Arabidopsis thaliana: one gene and its partner. The protein of the gene in region 2 interacts with the protein of the main gene of each other region in a biochemical or structural test. Each region holds a gene or a part of one and is shown on either strand. Other genes may lie near its edges.

Evidence for each region. The genes of interacting proteins can lie anywhere in the genome.
Region 1: the proteins of ETR2 (region 2) and AT1G17345 form a complex in vitro, tested with the Arabidopsis thaliana proteins (one study listed by BioGRID).

Annotation. Positions count from the first base shown.
Region 1 is NC_003070.9:5,938,516-5,943,697, reverse strand, and holds AT1G17345 (SAUR-like auxin-responsive protein family), read right to left. Parts: upstream 3,407-5,182; 5' UTR 3,174-3,406; coding exon 2,778-3,173; 3' UTR 2,173-2,777; downstream 1-2,172. Other genes in the region: AT1G17350 (NADH:ubiquinone oxidoreductase intermediate-associated protein 30), read right to left, coding at 9-89, 279-370, 558-614, 849-962, 1,256-1,307. UniProt on the Arabidopsis thaliana protein: May be involved in the regulation of ethylene receptor signaling. Promotes cell expansion and plant growth.
Region 2 is NC_003074.8:8,251,412-8,260,251, reverse strand, and holds ETR2 (Signal transduction histidine kinase, hybrid-type, ethylene sensor), read right to left. Parts: upstream 5,694-8,840; 5' UTR 5,228-5,693; intron 5,131-5,227; 5' UTR 5,097-5,130; coding exon 3,330-5,096; coding exon of another isoform or gene 3,282-3,329; exon of another isoform or gene 3,247-3,281; coding exon 2,692-3,246; 3' UTR 2,364-2,691; downstream 1-2,363. Other genes in the region: AT3G23160 (plant/protein (DUF668)), read left to right, coding at 1-193; AT3G23145 (ATP binding / aminoacyl-tRNA ligase/ nucleotide binding protein), read right to left, coding at 7,056-7,120, 7,236-7,299, 7,426-7,611, 7,795-7,893, 8,052-8,114. UniProt on the Arabidopsis thaliana protein: Ethylene receptor related to bacterial two-component regulators. Acts as a redundant negative regulator of ethylene signaling.

The DNA of each region.
Region 1 (5,182 bases), on a different chromosome or scaffold from region 2:
AAACTTACAGTAGAGATATAACATCTTCCATCTCCTCTGATCCTCAGGGCTATTGCATCATACCCATCGAGATCAATGAAGCCATCAAACTAGAAAAGCAGAGGATGCTAGAATTAGTTGCAATAGTAAGCTGACTCAAAAAGTCTCTCGTTTACAAAACCAGGACTAAGATATAGTAACCCATTTTCCTTCTTTTCTTCAAACAAAGACTGACATGCAGAAAATATGTTTTGAATAAGAATGGTTAGTAAGATAAATGAAAGCTCTGTGTTGTTCACCTTTTTTGAGCGCATTCCACAGAAACCACTTCGACTGATGTTCCATTTTGATCCTTCGCTAAGGTCTACAGATAGGTTCCCCGAAAAAACTCCTATAAAAGATATTTGGATGAAAAAACATCACTAAGTGGAGCAGTGTAGAAGCACAACGAGTCAACGAGAAATTAAGAAATGATGACATAGAAGAAATCTCATATTGTTTTATTGATGAACTTCATGACAACAAGACATGCTGGAGGGCCGATGATAGATCACAGAAGAAATTACAAAGTTGCTAACCAGTGCAATCTGATCCATCTCCTTTATCTGGGATCTCCAAGGAAGCCGAAGATAATCCTGTCAAATAAGTATCAAACTTCAAACAGGTTGCCACAAGATAAATATTAAAATGCATAGCATATTGTTTACATATCAATGTAAATCTGTGCAATGCCGATCTTCAGAAATCTTATTTTGTCTATAGTTGTTCATATGGATCACCGAGGCATGGAAATGAAAGGGATAATGACAACAGAAACAATATCAGATACTCTTTACGGAGCAGATGCTTAAACCTGTCAGCATAAGTACCTCCATATTCAGAGTCGGAATAGAGATGCCATTTCTTTAAGTCTTCTTTAGAGTGGAACTTAAATATATGCTTCTCTGCAGGTGGCACCCATTCTTCAACGTTCCATGTAAGAGCTAACAGTTTACAGGGTGAAGATAAGTCAGAAACTAGCAAATCTTTGCTGCATTCAAAAGCATAAAGGCTAGTATAGAAATATATATGTGATCCCAAAAGTTTGTAAGCATTGGAACATAGAAGCAACGTTATTGTTTCCTCAAACATCACTTGCAATCAGTCACTGTCTAATAAGTATAAGCACAAGCACAAAATAAAACGAAACATCAACACACAAACCAAAAAAAAAATCAAAAGATCAAAGAATCAAGTACGACACATGATAATTGACGGAAAAGTGGCAGGCGAATACCCTTCTTTGTCGCATTTACTGAGGCTTGCAACAACGATCGAAACCTTGACATGTCTCTGTAGCTGCTTTCCCAGATGAAAACAAAGAAAGCTTGTCTAAGATATATAAAAATGACTGTTAGGAATTAAAGCTCCAATTTTTCAATGGTAAACACTAAATGACACACACACAAAACCTCAATGATCAGAACCAGACTCCAGAAAACGTATAAAAAGTAATGTCTTTGCAAGGTTAGCTATATCAGAAGTTGACGCATCCTAAACAGAAACCATACGCTAGTGACTAAAGACTATTATTACCCTTTGAAGCTTTTCAACAAACACCTTGTCAGCCAAAAATCGATCAAGGTAATCACAAATGCAGCTGGTGAAAAAACAAATTGTCCCCAAATCCTTCAGAAAAACCCGACATATATCACAGACGCTAATAAAAAGGTTGCCATATGAATTCATATTCTGCTCCGAAATGCACAGGAAAGAAAAATCTCAGAACAAGAAGATCTGATAATTAGAACAAGCCAAATGCTAAAGACTAACTAAAACTATTCTAAAGTTTTAGAGTTTCCACTAAACGAAGCAAAGATGATAGGAACTCACTCACTGGATTTGCCGTCACCGTCGCACAATCAGCCTCTGTTTACCGATTAACAGTCAAACTTGAAGACCACCAAGCTGCACGTCACTGTTTCTACGCCACGATGCCGTTTTGCGAGACCAATCTTATTAAATGGGCCTATTTGGCCCAAGTTCTCCAATATATTCCCCAATAGTAAATCCACAAAGTGTCCATTTTTTTATACAGATTCAATTAATACGAATTTTTTTTCAACGTTGAAATACATAATTCTTTGTTTATATTCAGGCAAAGATATCCCATTATCTACATATAGGCTATAGCTTGACATGAGATATTAAGAACTACATAAATAATTATGCTGGTCGAGTTAATGAGCATCCTATATTTTATTATTTTATTAAAAACCACCATTATGATTACGAGCCATACATACTCACATCGTAGTCATGTTTAATTAATTACTCCAAGAAGTTTATACCTAATTTCACTTCACATTACAACTTGGATACACTTATAGACGTAGTTAGTAATTTATACTTAAATATTTGTTTCCGTGACAGCTTGATGCCACTAGAAAGGCAAGTAGGACAACCGTCCGTGCAATTGGGTAGCCCTGCGCATCATCATGTGGCGGCCACTTTTATTCTTTCGAAAATCTCATAACTACGTACTACTGTAGAGTACATGTATATCAAATGGAGCTAATCATAAAAAACAATTTTAGCATATGTTACAATTTATCATCATTTGGGGCAAGATACTACTACCCTCTTTCGACCGACATAATTATAATATTAGTTAAAGATTACTAGTTAACTCTAAAAATTTGCTCGGGAGAAAAACAAAAGCAAAGAAAATGGTCTGTGCATGACCGCATTATTGGATCATGTCGAATCAAATTCCAAAATTAACGAAATAAAAGTATATATGGATATGTATCGCGCCGTCAATAAGTATAGAACTCAGCCAACTCCTCGACGGATCCTCTTTCGCGATCATCCTCATCGCCGTGATCAGAGGAACTGTTTTTGAGCATCCATAACAAGTGCTCGAACAATACGACTTCGCAAGCTACTAAGACGGTCTCTTGGTCGTGACGTTCTTCGATAAATCTAGACGACCGGTCAAGTAGTTCTTGGAAAAGCGGATGAGCGATGACGTGGGAACTAAGCATGTAAGGTCTTCGTGACTTTCCGACGTAAACCACATGGAGATCCTCGCACTTTGAGACCTCAGATACGGCGGTAGAGGCGGTACACATGGTTGAATGGTGGTTCTTGGTCAAGGAAGGCCATTTCTTTATGGCAGACTTGAGCTTTGTCAGTTTACCGAATATAGCCATTAGCGAAAGTCTCTGATTTTTAGCAATAGTAGTAGTTTCTTGAAATTAAGATTATTGTTTTGTGTATGTTTTATCAGGAATTGAGAAACTAACTTTCTTGGTACGTAAGAAGGAAGTATTGGGTTCTTTGTATTTATATTGAGGGACAGGGAGAGAAAGAGAACAGCTAAGAAAGATAAAGGAGGCTACAAAATCTGTAAAACTGGTGTCCCCTTGCTCTAAATTTTATTTAATAATCTATATTATATATTATGTGTAAGTGTGTGTGGATGCATGTTGATATGTGCATACGTGTGTATGTGGGCTGGACAATCTACTCTTGTGTCTTGTTGTGCAATGAATCGGACCAAGCAAGGGTGATCGATGATTTTTAGATAAAGATTACATCATGATTGAGATAAGATCTCCATGATAATTATATTTAGTGTCGCGCTTAAAGTTACGGTTTTGGCCGAAAGAATAGGGTGTATAGTAATTTAGCTTTTTAATTATTACACACAAAATCTTGTAGTTTAGTTATTATATATATGTTTTTTTGAACACAAGCGGTCCATATATTTTAATATGTACGTATTTAAATTTATACTTTCTTGAATAAAAACTAATTCGACAATTGAAGTCATAAAACAAAAGCATCTGTCTTTGATCGAACTGCACATTGTGGGAGATAAGCTAATTGGTAAAAGAAGTATAGAAAACCTTTATAAAGTGATCCAAACTTGTTTTTATCAATAGTTTAGCCTAAGAGAAATCAAACAACAAAATAGTCGTCGATCATCATTAGTTAAATACCTTAGTGATAGTGATTAATGTTGATTAATTAGTAGTAGTAATCTGTGTGATGATTTATATATATATATGTATAAAAAGAATCCAGATATAAACCTGTTTATCGCACGTAAACAATACCCTGCTTATGTGCATTTGACTCTGTGATCGGTTCAATGTACTACACTAAAATATTTCTTCGAAAATATAATACGTTTTAAAAATACTAATATATAAATGTTGACATTGTGATGCTACAATTTTGTAATCAAGAACTCGTTTGGTATATTCTGAACTGTAGACAGAACCCCTGGTTCTCGTAGACAATGTAGTGTATAACATACTAACTCAGTTGATTGAACTTTTATTGTTAATCTAACCTCATCGAATTGAATTCTGAAACATTGAAGAAAAGAGCTGTATATTTTTTTTTATTAATCTCAGAAATATCCGACAGCTTTTGGTTTTGGTGGGCGAACAATTGCCAGCCAACAGCCAACAAAATCAAATTATTTAATGAGAAGAATTAAATAAAAATATTCTGAACAAATAAGTTAGTTGCAAGAGCAAATTAGCCAGTTGGGATGTTCTTGTTCTTCAAGAGTGCGTTACACCTTTTCCTTGGTTTAACCAGCCAATTAAAAAGATTTTGTTTAATGAAAAGAGTTTGAAACATGAAGCATCTAAAAAAATCCTAATCTTGTTACACTTTTTCTTTTGTCCACATTTTTAAGTACTCTATATAGGAAGGTGTGTTGCTGAAGTCAGCCCATTACACGACGTGTCAAGAAAGCCTTAGGTGGTATACTACAGAGGCTCCTGTCGTCTAACATAAAGTGTTTTCGGGTGCAAAAAGATAAATATTTTTGGGGCCAGATTTCTTAGAAATTAGCCGGTCTCGAAACGCAGGCCTCTCTAACCTTTAAAGAAACCTTTTGGCAATAATTCTATCAGGATGCTATGTTTTAGTTTGTTGGTAACTTTTCAACACAATGGATTCAAAGGTCTAATAACACAATTTATTGCCGCGCATGAATTGGCGGTTAATAAATTACGAAAAAAATGGAAAAACAAACAAACCAAACCCTCTATATATACCAAAAACAGAAAAACAGAATCAAACTTTGTGGGTGGTGGTGAAAAAACAAGAATGAAATCTATTTTGCTAAGAATAGAAAGAAAGAAAGAAAAAAAAAAGAAAACAAGAAACGTGGATCTTTACAAAGGTATGAGTCGGATAT
Region 2 (8,840 bases):
TCTTCTACTTCAGACTCTTTACTTTGCTGATAGAGAGAAGACAGAAGCTGCGATTTGTAAGCTTCTTGTCGGGTTAAACTACATTTGCCATTACGAACAACAACAAAACGCGTTGTTGGATTGCGCGAGTAGCTTTGATTATGAAGATTGTTTTGAGTGGCAGAGCCAATGCCGTGCAGCTTACTTGGACTAACAATTGGTTTTTTTTTCTTTCTTTCTTCTTCTTAGTGTTGTTCTATAGATACATTTGTTTATGATTCAACACATTGTGAATACTAAATATCTAGTTTTGTTTGCATACATAAAAAATGATTGTGAAAATTGAAGTTCTGTTGTAGATAACTCCAAATCTTAGTTAGACAATGTTAAGTGTGTATTGAAGAATATGAGTTTTTTTAAGTGTGTATTGAAGAATATGAGCTTTAACAATGATAACTCCAATCTTAGTTAGACAATGTTAGAGATGGTAACTCATAGTTAGGCAAAGTTAAGTGTGTGTATTGAAGAATATGAGCTTTTTTGAAAGACATATATTAAAGCCAACCCAACAAGAGAGAGAGATGTTAGGTGATGAATGCATTTAATCAGAGAGAGATTGAGTAGGGCAAAAAGTGCATTGATGTTTTTTGAACCAAGCTTGACATTTTTGTGGTTGAGATTTTCTTTTTTTGTGTGTCAACGATGAGAATTTCATTTATTGTTGCTATTGATTGTTGTGTGTAAGAATGAAAAAGAAAGTTAATATATTGGGTCAAGGCTTTTGGGGTTTGGGCCTAACCTTATATTGACTAAGAACTAGATCAACCTTTGGCCCAAAGTTCTCTTTATATCAAATCAGTCGTTGGTAAAGGTCTCTGCATAGTCTTTGTATCTAGACTAAGCTCCAGAATTTCTAGCTAGATCTTCCTATGTGTTTTGCTGAATATATAAATACATCAAATTGCTGAACTATTAATTCAAGAAAGTTTTGGTTTTATTAACTTTATAACTCGTATTCATATTCCTATTTCTCTAGTGGAAATTAACTTAGAAAATTAGGAAAATTGAACAAGGGCCTCCTAGTAAACTAGAAGACAACAGTAGTTGATATACTTCAATTCCTTTGACTAACATATAATGTTAAGACAAAGCTAATTTATCTTTTGTGAATGACGTGATCACAAGCAAACAAGAAGTTTGGATCGAATTGACTATATTTTGGATAATATGAGTAGAATTCTCTATCTACGTTTGTGTTCTTGTTTTTTTTTTTCTTTCTTCTAGACCTAAAAAAGAGATATGAATTTCTTTCTGTTTTAGCCAAAAATAGAGGGAAAGCAAAACTTCTATGTTATGTGTTCACATATTATACTTTTTTTTTTCTTGGGTATAAACAAAAAGGAGGTATGATTAAGATTAACACATGCATCGGTCCCTTTTGTATATTGTTCGACTTTGGAATGAATAATACATCGAACATCTTCTATTTATGAGTTGATGGTGATAAGGTATTTCAAGACTTTGCAAATCATTTTGTCAGCTATATTGACTAGGAACGACCCCTTTGGTCTTGATCTTGTGGCTCAAGCCATTATCATTTCGGCTTCATAATAGCAATTATTTTTGATCAACTTAAATAAGCCTATATATTTTCTGAATAATTGTTTTTCGAAATTAGTTACTTATGAAAAATAACTAACAATAATAACTTCCTAGTACCACAAATTTCCTAAGATTCTTAATTTATACACAAAAGAAAATTTTAGACGCGATTTAGACTAGCACATCAGTTATTTACATAATTTTACTTATGATGTAATGTAACAAATCAATCTTTTTTCTTCTTCTTTATTTCTCTAAACTGTTTTACTCGCAATAACTGTAGGCAGCCGGGGGAAATATTTGGATTCTTGAAAGTGTAAAGTGAAGAGTGGTTATCTATTTGGACATGATTGTTTTCACTGTAGTTATCAAATAATTAGTACTTTAACTAATAATTAAGACTAATCTGTCAAAGATTGTCGGGTTCGAAGAAACAAATGTATAAGCACAAGTGGGTTTGAATATATAATTGCAAGTTACGTAAACCCATCTCTTCCCTAGATTCACTTTCTGCAAATCCAATCCATTTCTACTTTATTTTATGCAGTTCTTTTAGTTTAATAGGCTCGAGGAATGTGCAGTTTTGTTTAATGTAATCTTCTCTAGTCCAGGGGGCATGAATCTAACAAATAATTACTATATTTTGATTTTTACTGGTAACAACTAATAAAGTCACACATTTTTTTCAATGATTCTTTTGTTTGAAAAGTTTATTACAAAAGTGGCAGACGACATTATCTACAACTTTTCATGTTCCAGGATAATTTAAGAGAGCTCTAATACCTACTAGAGAATTAACTTGATGTAGAGTAGTAACGAAGAAAATTTATCTTCAAAACTCTATAATGCCATATTCAGTTTCGTAAGTTCGTAACATAAAGAAAACAAAAAACTACGAAACTGACTCCTTCTTGACCCTACGAAATACTAAGATTCAATGCAATTTCGTGGGGTTCAAAATGAGAAAAAGAACAAAAAAAAACAGGATGTACAAATCATAGAGATATGGGTGGTATATATAATAACAATTTCGAAATTTCATTTTGATATATTTGACATAAATCTATGGTGTAAAAATTTTGAATGTAGAAGAGAAGTTGAGATAACAACTTAGAGAAGTTGGTCAGCTTGCAACAATACTCTTCGGAGCTCACTCTCCATAGCTCTTAACACCACTGGCTTTCTCACAACTCCATTGATTCCAATCTGTGCACACTTGTCCCACATTTCTTCATCCAAGCTCACTGTCGTCGCCACAATCAACGGCCAAGATCGACTCCTGATCCTCATGGCCACTTCATAACCGTCCATCTCTGCCATTTGAAGATCAAGCACCACCACTTGAAACGAAGTAGAAGGCGAGGACGAGCCGGGAGCAATGGCGGTAAGGCAATCGAATCCAGAGGAAACCGCGGTTACATCGCACCCGAGTTTCTCTAAGAGTTTACGTGTAACTGCCCGGTTCGAATCGTTGGTGTCTACCAATAAAACTTGTAAGCCACGTAACAGAGAATTCGAATGTGGGTGAGCGTGGTGGTCAGGAGCTGGCGACTCGCTGGATCCATGGACAGATATGGAGGGTCTACGTCGAAACCGAAGGAGCAACGACATGGTCTCCGGTGAACCATCCGAGCCAGGGACCACCGAGATATTCCCATGAATCAACTGCACACATTATCAAAGAACTCCTAAACAGAAACTCAGACTAATGACAGGAACTTTAGAAAGAGATATGTAAGGAAACTCACCTGCACCACTTTCTTACAAACACCAAAGCTTAGATCTTGTCCTAACCCATAGCCGCCGGAGAATCTAACATCACCAACTTCTTGATCTCTGGAGGAAACAGAAGCAAATGATTGAGAACTTGAATCATCATTCTCTACATTCATTTCAAATCTTATATACACATCTCCATCTGCTGAAGAAGCCGGTGATCTCCAAGCAGCCCATCTATGATCACTCCTATCCAAGCTTCCTCTTTCTTTCAAAACCTTAAACATCAATGAAGATCCTTCTTGACGTTTTCTAGGCTTTACTAAACTACCAACTATATGAAGTATCACTTGAAAGACCCTTCTTTCATCACCTACTACATTATCAGGTAGAGACTTCTCCGCGTCAACCAAGAACCTAATTCCATTGCATAGACACAAACATCTCGCCATACAAGCTGCTTCATGGATCGTACGATGCAGACTAAATGGTTTCATCTCCGTACCAAATCTACCGTCAGGCACATCCATAGAGTCCCCCACCAAATTCGACATAACATTCCCTGTTTTAACCATCGTATCAACAATCATTTTCTGCTCGTCACTCAACTTCTCGTCCTGAATCATCGACAAAAGACCGAGTATCGAATGCATAGGACGCCTCATCCCTTCGCTCATCGTTTTCTGAAACGCATTCCTCGCTTGGCTCGCTCTCAACGCGTCTCTCTTCGCCATCTGCAACGCCCTGTTCTGTTCCGCCAGCTTCTCCCTCATAAGCTGAGACTCTTCAAGAACCGCTGCATGATCTAACGCAACGGTTACTTGATCCGCCACAACTTTAACAATCTCAATCTCCTGATAAGTCCAATCCCGAGGCGTCCCGCCCGGTAAAACACAAACAAGTATCGCATAACTTAGCTCTCCATTAAAATCCGAAACACGAAGCATCGGCATTCTAATAGCAGCCACGGCACCAATCTCACTAACATCCCCACCACCACCACTAGCTCGAGCAATGGACGAGTCAACACTCAACACATTCACTTCATCACTCTCCCTAATCCTAACAACATCCAAATCCTCCATAGAAACAGAACAACCACCATAACCACCTCTCCCTCTCAACTCATGAGTCAAATCCATCTCCGTTCCACCGTCATTCGGCATCCAAACCGCACAATTCTGCAACCCTAAAGTCTTCGAAAGCTCAACCAAAGTAGTATAAAGAATCGTATGACGATCCAAAGACTTACGAATCTCTTGAGTAAGCATACGAACATGAAAGCCAGTCTCTTTCTTAATCAAAATCAAACCAACTTCACGACCAAGCTCATGAGCTTTCTTCTTAAGCATAAACTCTCTAACTTTAACTTTCAAAAGCAGAGGAATCAAAGTAATAAGCGTAATCGCAGTAGCACAAGAGACTAAAGCAGTCAACATCTTGAAAACAGTAAACGCCATCATTAATCTAAATGGATGAGCAGAGTAAGTCCAACCATGAAGAAGATGAGTCATACCACAAAGAACAATGAAGGCGATAAACTCAAAGAGAACCCATTTGAATGGAACATTGGAACAACTCACGAAGTAAAGTAACTCAATAGGGATTGAGAAATAAGCTACTGCGATTAAGAAATCGCTTACTCTTTGAGTTTCTAGAATGTTCTCTGTACTCCAGAAACTGTTTCCTTCGTCTTCGCAGTTACATCGTGGATAACCACCGCCGTTTATAGCTAAAACCGGAGAAACAAACACCACCATTGATAGTATCAATAACCAAGAAGCTATTTCTTTAACCATCTTCGGAGAAAAAAAATGCTTAGTCCATTATACTCTGCAATTAGAAAAACAAGAAACAGAGTGAGAAATAAAAATCAAAACTTTAATTTGGGTAATAGTAGAAAGAACAGAGAAAGAAAAATTTGGAATACCTGAAAGAGATGAGTTTGGATCAAAATGAAACAGTTCTCAGATCTCTCATCGACCTGTGAAATTCCAACGAAGTGATGTACGAGAATCTTCTAATTCTCTTCGACATTCCGATCTTCCTCTCATAGAAGAACAACGATGACGAGAATAAAAATACACAAAGAGAAAGACAGAGACAGAACAAAAAAAGCTGGTGATGACAAAACCAGAAGACTTAAAAGTGAAGAGATAGAGACAAATCTGAAACTACTTTGAAGTTATATAAAAAAACGTGAAGTACGTTTATTTATATATGCCGGAGATGATTAGTGCCGGAAAACCGCCATAAGCCGCCGATGGAGGATAAAAAGAGAAGTGTATGTATAGGGTGTAAGTAAAGGTAGGAGCCGTTGGTTTTAGAGGAAGGTTTTGAGATTTTTTCTTCTTCTTTATTCTCTGATTTAGAAACTTAAAGAGGTCCCACTTGTTCTTACATGAACCGAACTTAGACGGTCTTTTGAATTTTTTCTGAGTTGTGTTTTTTTTCTTACACTTAATAATTTTTTGGTCACTAATGTATTAATAAATCATTTAATATTGAAAACATTTGTTATTTCCTCAACTTGTACGTTTTATAAATTTAACTTATTACAAGCTGTAACATAGAATAATTAATGGGTACTCTGAATTTTATCAAAATCCCGTATATCATGAGACTGAAGAATAGAATAAAGCTTGTTTATTTGTATATGAATGAGTAAAATATTGGTATAATTGTTGGAAACTATCAAGCCACATGACATGAATCTAGGAACCTAAAAATTATTTTAATAAATGTGTTTTATTCCAAGAAAGTATAAAATTAAGACCAAGGAGGCAAATAGATCATATATTTCTTAAATTAGCTTTGTTTATAAACAAAAGAGCACAAAATCTAACGTAATCACTGTGTTTTGAACTGACACAAGTAGTCGGATATTTGATGAGATTAGTCTAATACTCTAATTAGATATTTTAATTAGTCAAATATTTACAAAAAGAAGATATGTATAACGCCTTAAGATGTTGATTAATATGAGGGACCTACAAAACTGTGATCTTTGATTTTATTATAATGTTTCCTTCACCATACATGAATCTAAAGAGTAATGAGTATATATTTGAAACCACATTGCTATTACTTTCCTAACTTTTAATTGTATGGTTTTGACTCTAGAAGAAACCATGTTAGACCACAGAATGTCAGAATCGCATGTGTTCTTTTATATTGAAGCTCTAATTAGTATCTACCAATCATCTTTGAAAAACATCATTGTTTAAAGCCTTTGTACATATTTATTTTATTTATTGATAGTACTATCTAAAGAAATTGAACCTAGAAGTTTTTAGACGACACGTTACCTAAGTTTTTTTTGTTGGTGTTTTTAGTGGTCACTGTAACAACAGAGAGTTTTAGCATCACTACCTATAACCATAATCTTGATGCTTCAAACGGAGTCATACAATTACAGAACAAAAAAAAATACATTGAAACTCTTGAGCATATTTTGTGAAGCTAGTTCGGATAATTTTGAATTTCCACAAGTAACAAAGTTTCTTGTTGTTTTTGTAATAAATCCCATCTTTATCTATAGAATGAGTACAAAGTCTCAAGAGACATTTAACTTTTTGCAACGATCTAGAAGAAAACACTTTAAAAGGCTCTCATGCGTTCTTCTTGCTTAACAATTAGTCACCGACTGTCAAATGCAAATGTTCTCCTAGAACCACAGTCATAACAGGGTGCTTTTCAATGCATGAGCACAATGAGAAGGAAACCCATATATCAAATATACAACTTATATATGACCATTAATCGCTTCGGTTACATTTATTTACCTCACGGGCAACACCTTCGTTTTTCAAAGATTCATCTTCTCGTAGATCAAGAATTACCATAACATCATATCTGAACCATGAACGAATGCAAATATTATATGTTTCCTCAACAATAGAGCATAGAGAAGTGGTATTTTTAATTAAGATATGTACTATCTACAGCTGCATCAATCTCTGTATCTTTCAAACCATCTGGACGTTTGAAATCTCTGACAATCTAAACAACACATGAACAAAATGTGTCATGAACATGGGTTCTTGAAGATACTGTAAACTTAAACAAGAAAGAAAATAAACTTAATGTTAAAGGTGGTGATATAAGGAAGATGTTGTCAAATCTAACCTTCTTAATTATCTCGTTCTCAAGACAAACACGATAGTCATCTGCACCAAAGACAGGAGCACAATGGACAATACCAGTACCACTATCATTCATGACATAATCATCTGCTACTAGTCGAAAAGTCACACTTGAGAAATCGCTAAAAGTAATCAAACAAAGGTTCATACTTCTTCCCAACCAAGGAATCTCCATTAAAATTTTCCAAAACTTGATAAGAATCCTCTTCACTGTCAAGCTTAATTAGCACCTTTCGCATTATGGTATCACTAGTAAGTTCCATTAGTTAAGCCGGCCTTAGGCTTATCACTAGGAAGCGATGACAACCGAGATTCAGCAACAATGTAGACTTTTCCAGTGTTGTTGACGAACCTTAAGATAGACAAACTTTGCATTGACACACAAAGCAAGATTACTTGGAAGAATCCATGGAGTAGTAGTCCATGCCACAAGAGCCGTATTATCTTGGATCTCCGATAACAGGGAATGTAACCATTACTAAATATGCAACACAATATGCAACAATAAATATGCAAAAAAAATATATATATTTAACACAAAAAAAAAAAAAAAAATGCAACAACAGAATGTTATAATCTTCATTAGCAACAAGGCCAACAACAACATACCTTATAGTTCTGACCAGCTTCAAAATTAGATAGTGGTGTTTTACAACCAGTACTATAAGGCATAACCTTGAAGCATCTATAGACAAGATTCTTATAAAAAAATCAGCCTACTACACCCAATTAAAATCTTTAATTTGAGTTATATATTTTAACACCGTCATTTCAATTTTTCCATGATTTTTAAGCCCAGCAAATCATAATCTGGCTCTTGAAATTTACGAACCCAAAAATCAAACCTCCAAATGATATTGGGCCTTTTAACTGGTCATACTTTGATCGCTACTTCTACTTCTAAACTTCAACTTTCAGTTCATAAAACCCAGATTTGACTTTCATTTACTCTCCTTTATTTTTTATGCATGTAATATACTATCACATTTTTATAATCATAATTTGTTTTACAACATCAAGGCTATGATTGATTCATATGAGCTCACATGGGTCTGCAAAAATGTAGTTTCTAAATTTGGAAGGCTTTTCAAATGGTGTAAATTATAAACTTCACCAACCTATTATTAAAACGCATATAATGTTTATCCCATTGCAGTTCGAATTCATTCATAATATAAGTTTAAACTTACTTTATAATGTAAATTCATACAAACCCACTTGAAATGTAAATTCATGTAAAATATTATACAAGAGAATGATAGATAGTCTTTGATTATACAAACCCAAATTTCATACAACGTAACTAATTATTAGAACATATTACGCAAAACTACTTGATCTATAGATCTACACTAATATATAGTTATGGAAAAGAACAATAATCCTGTACTATACAAA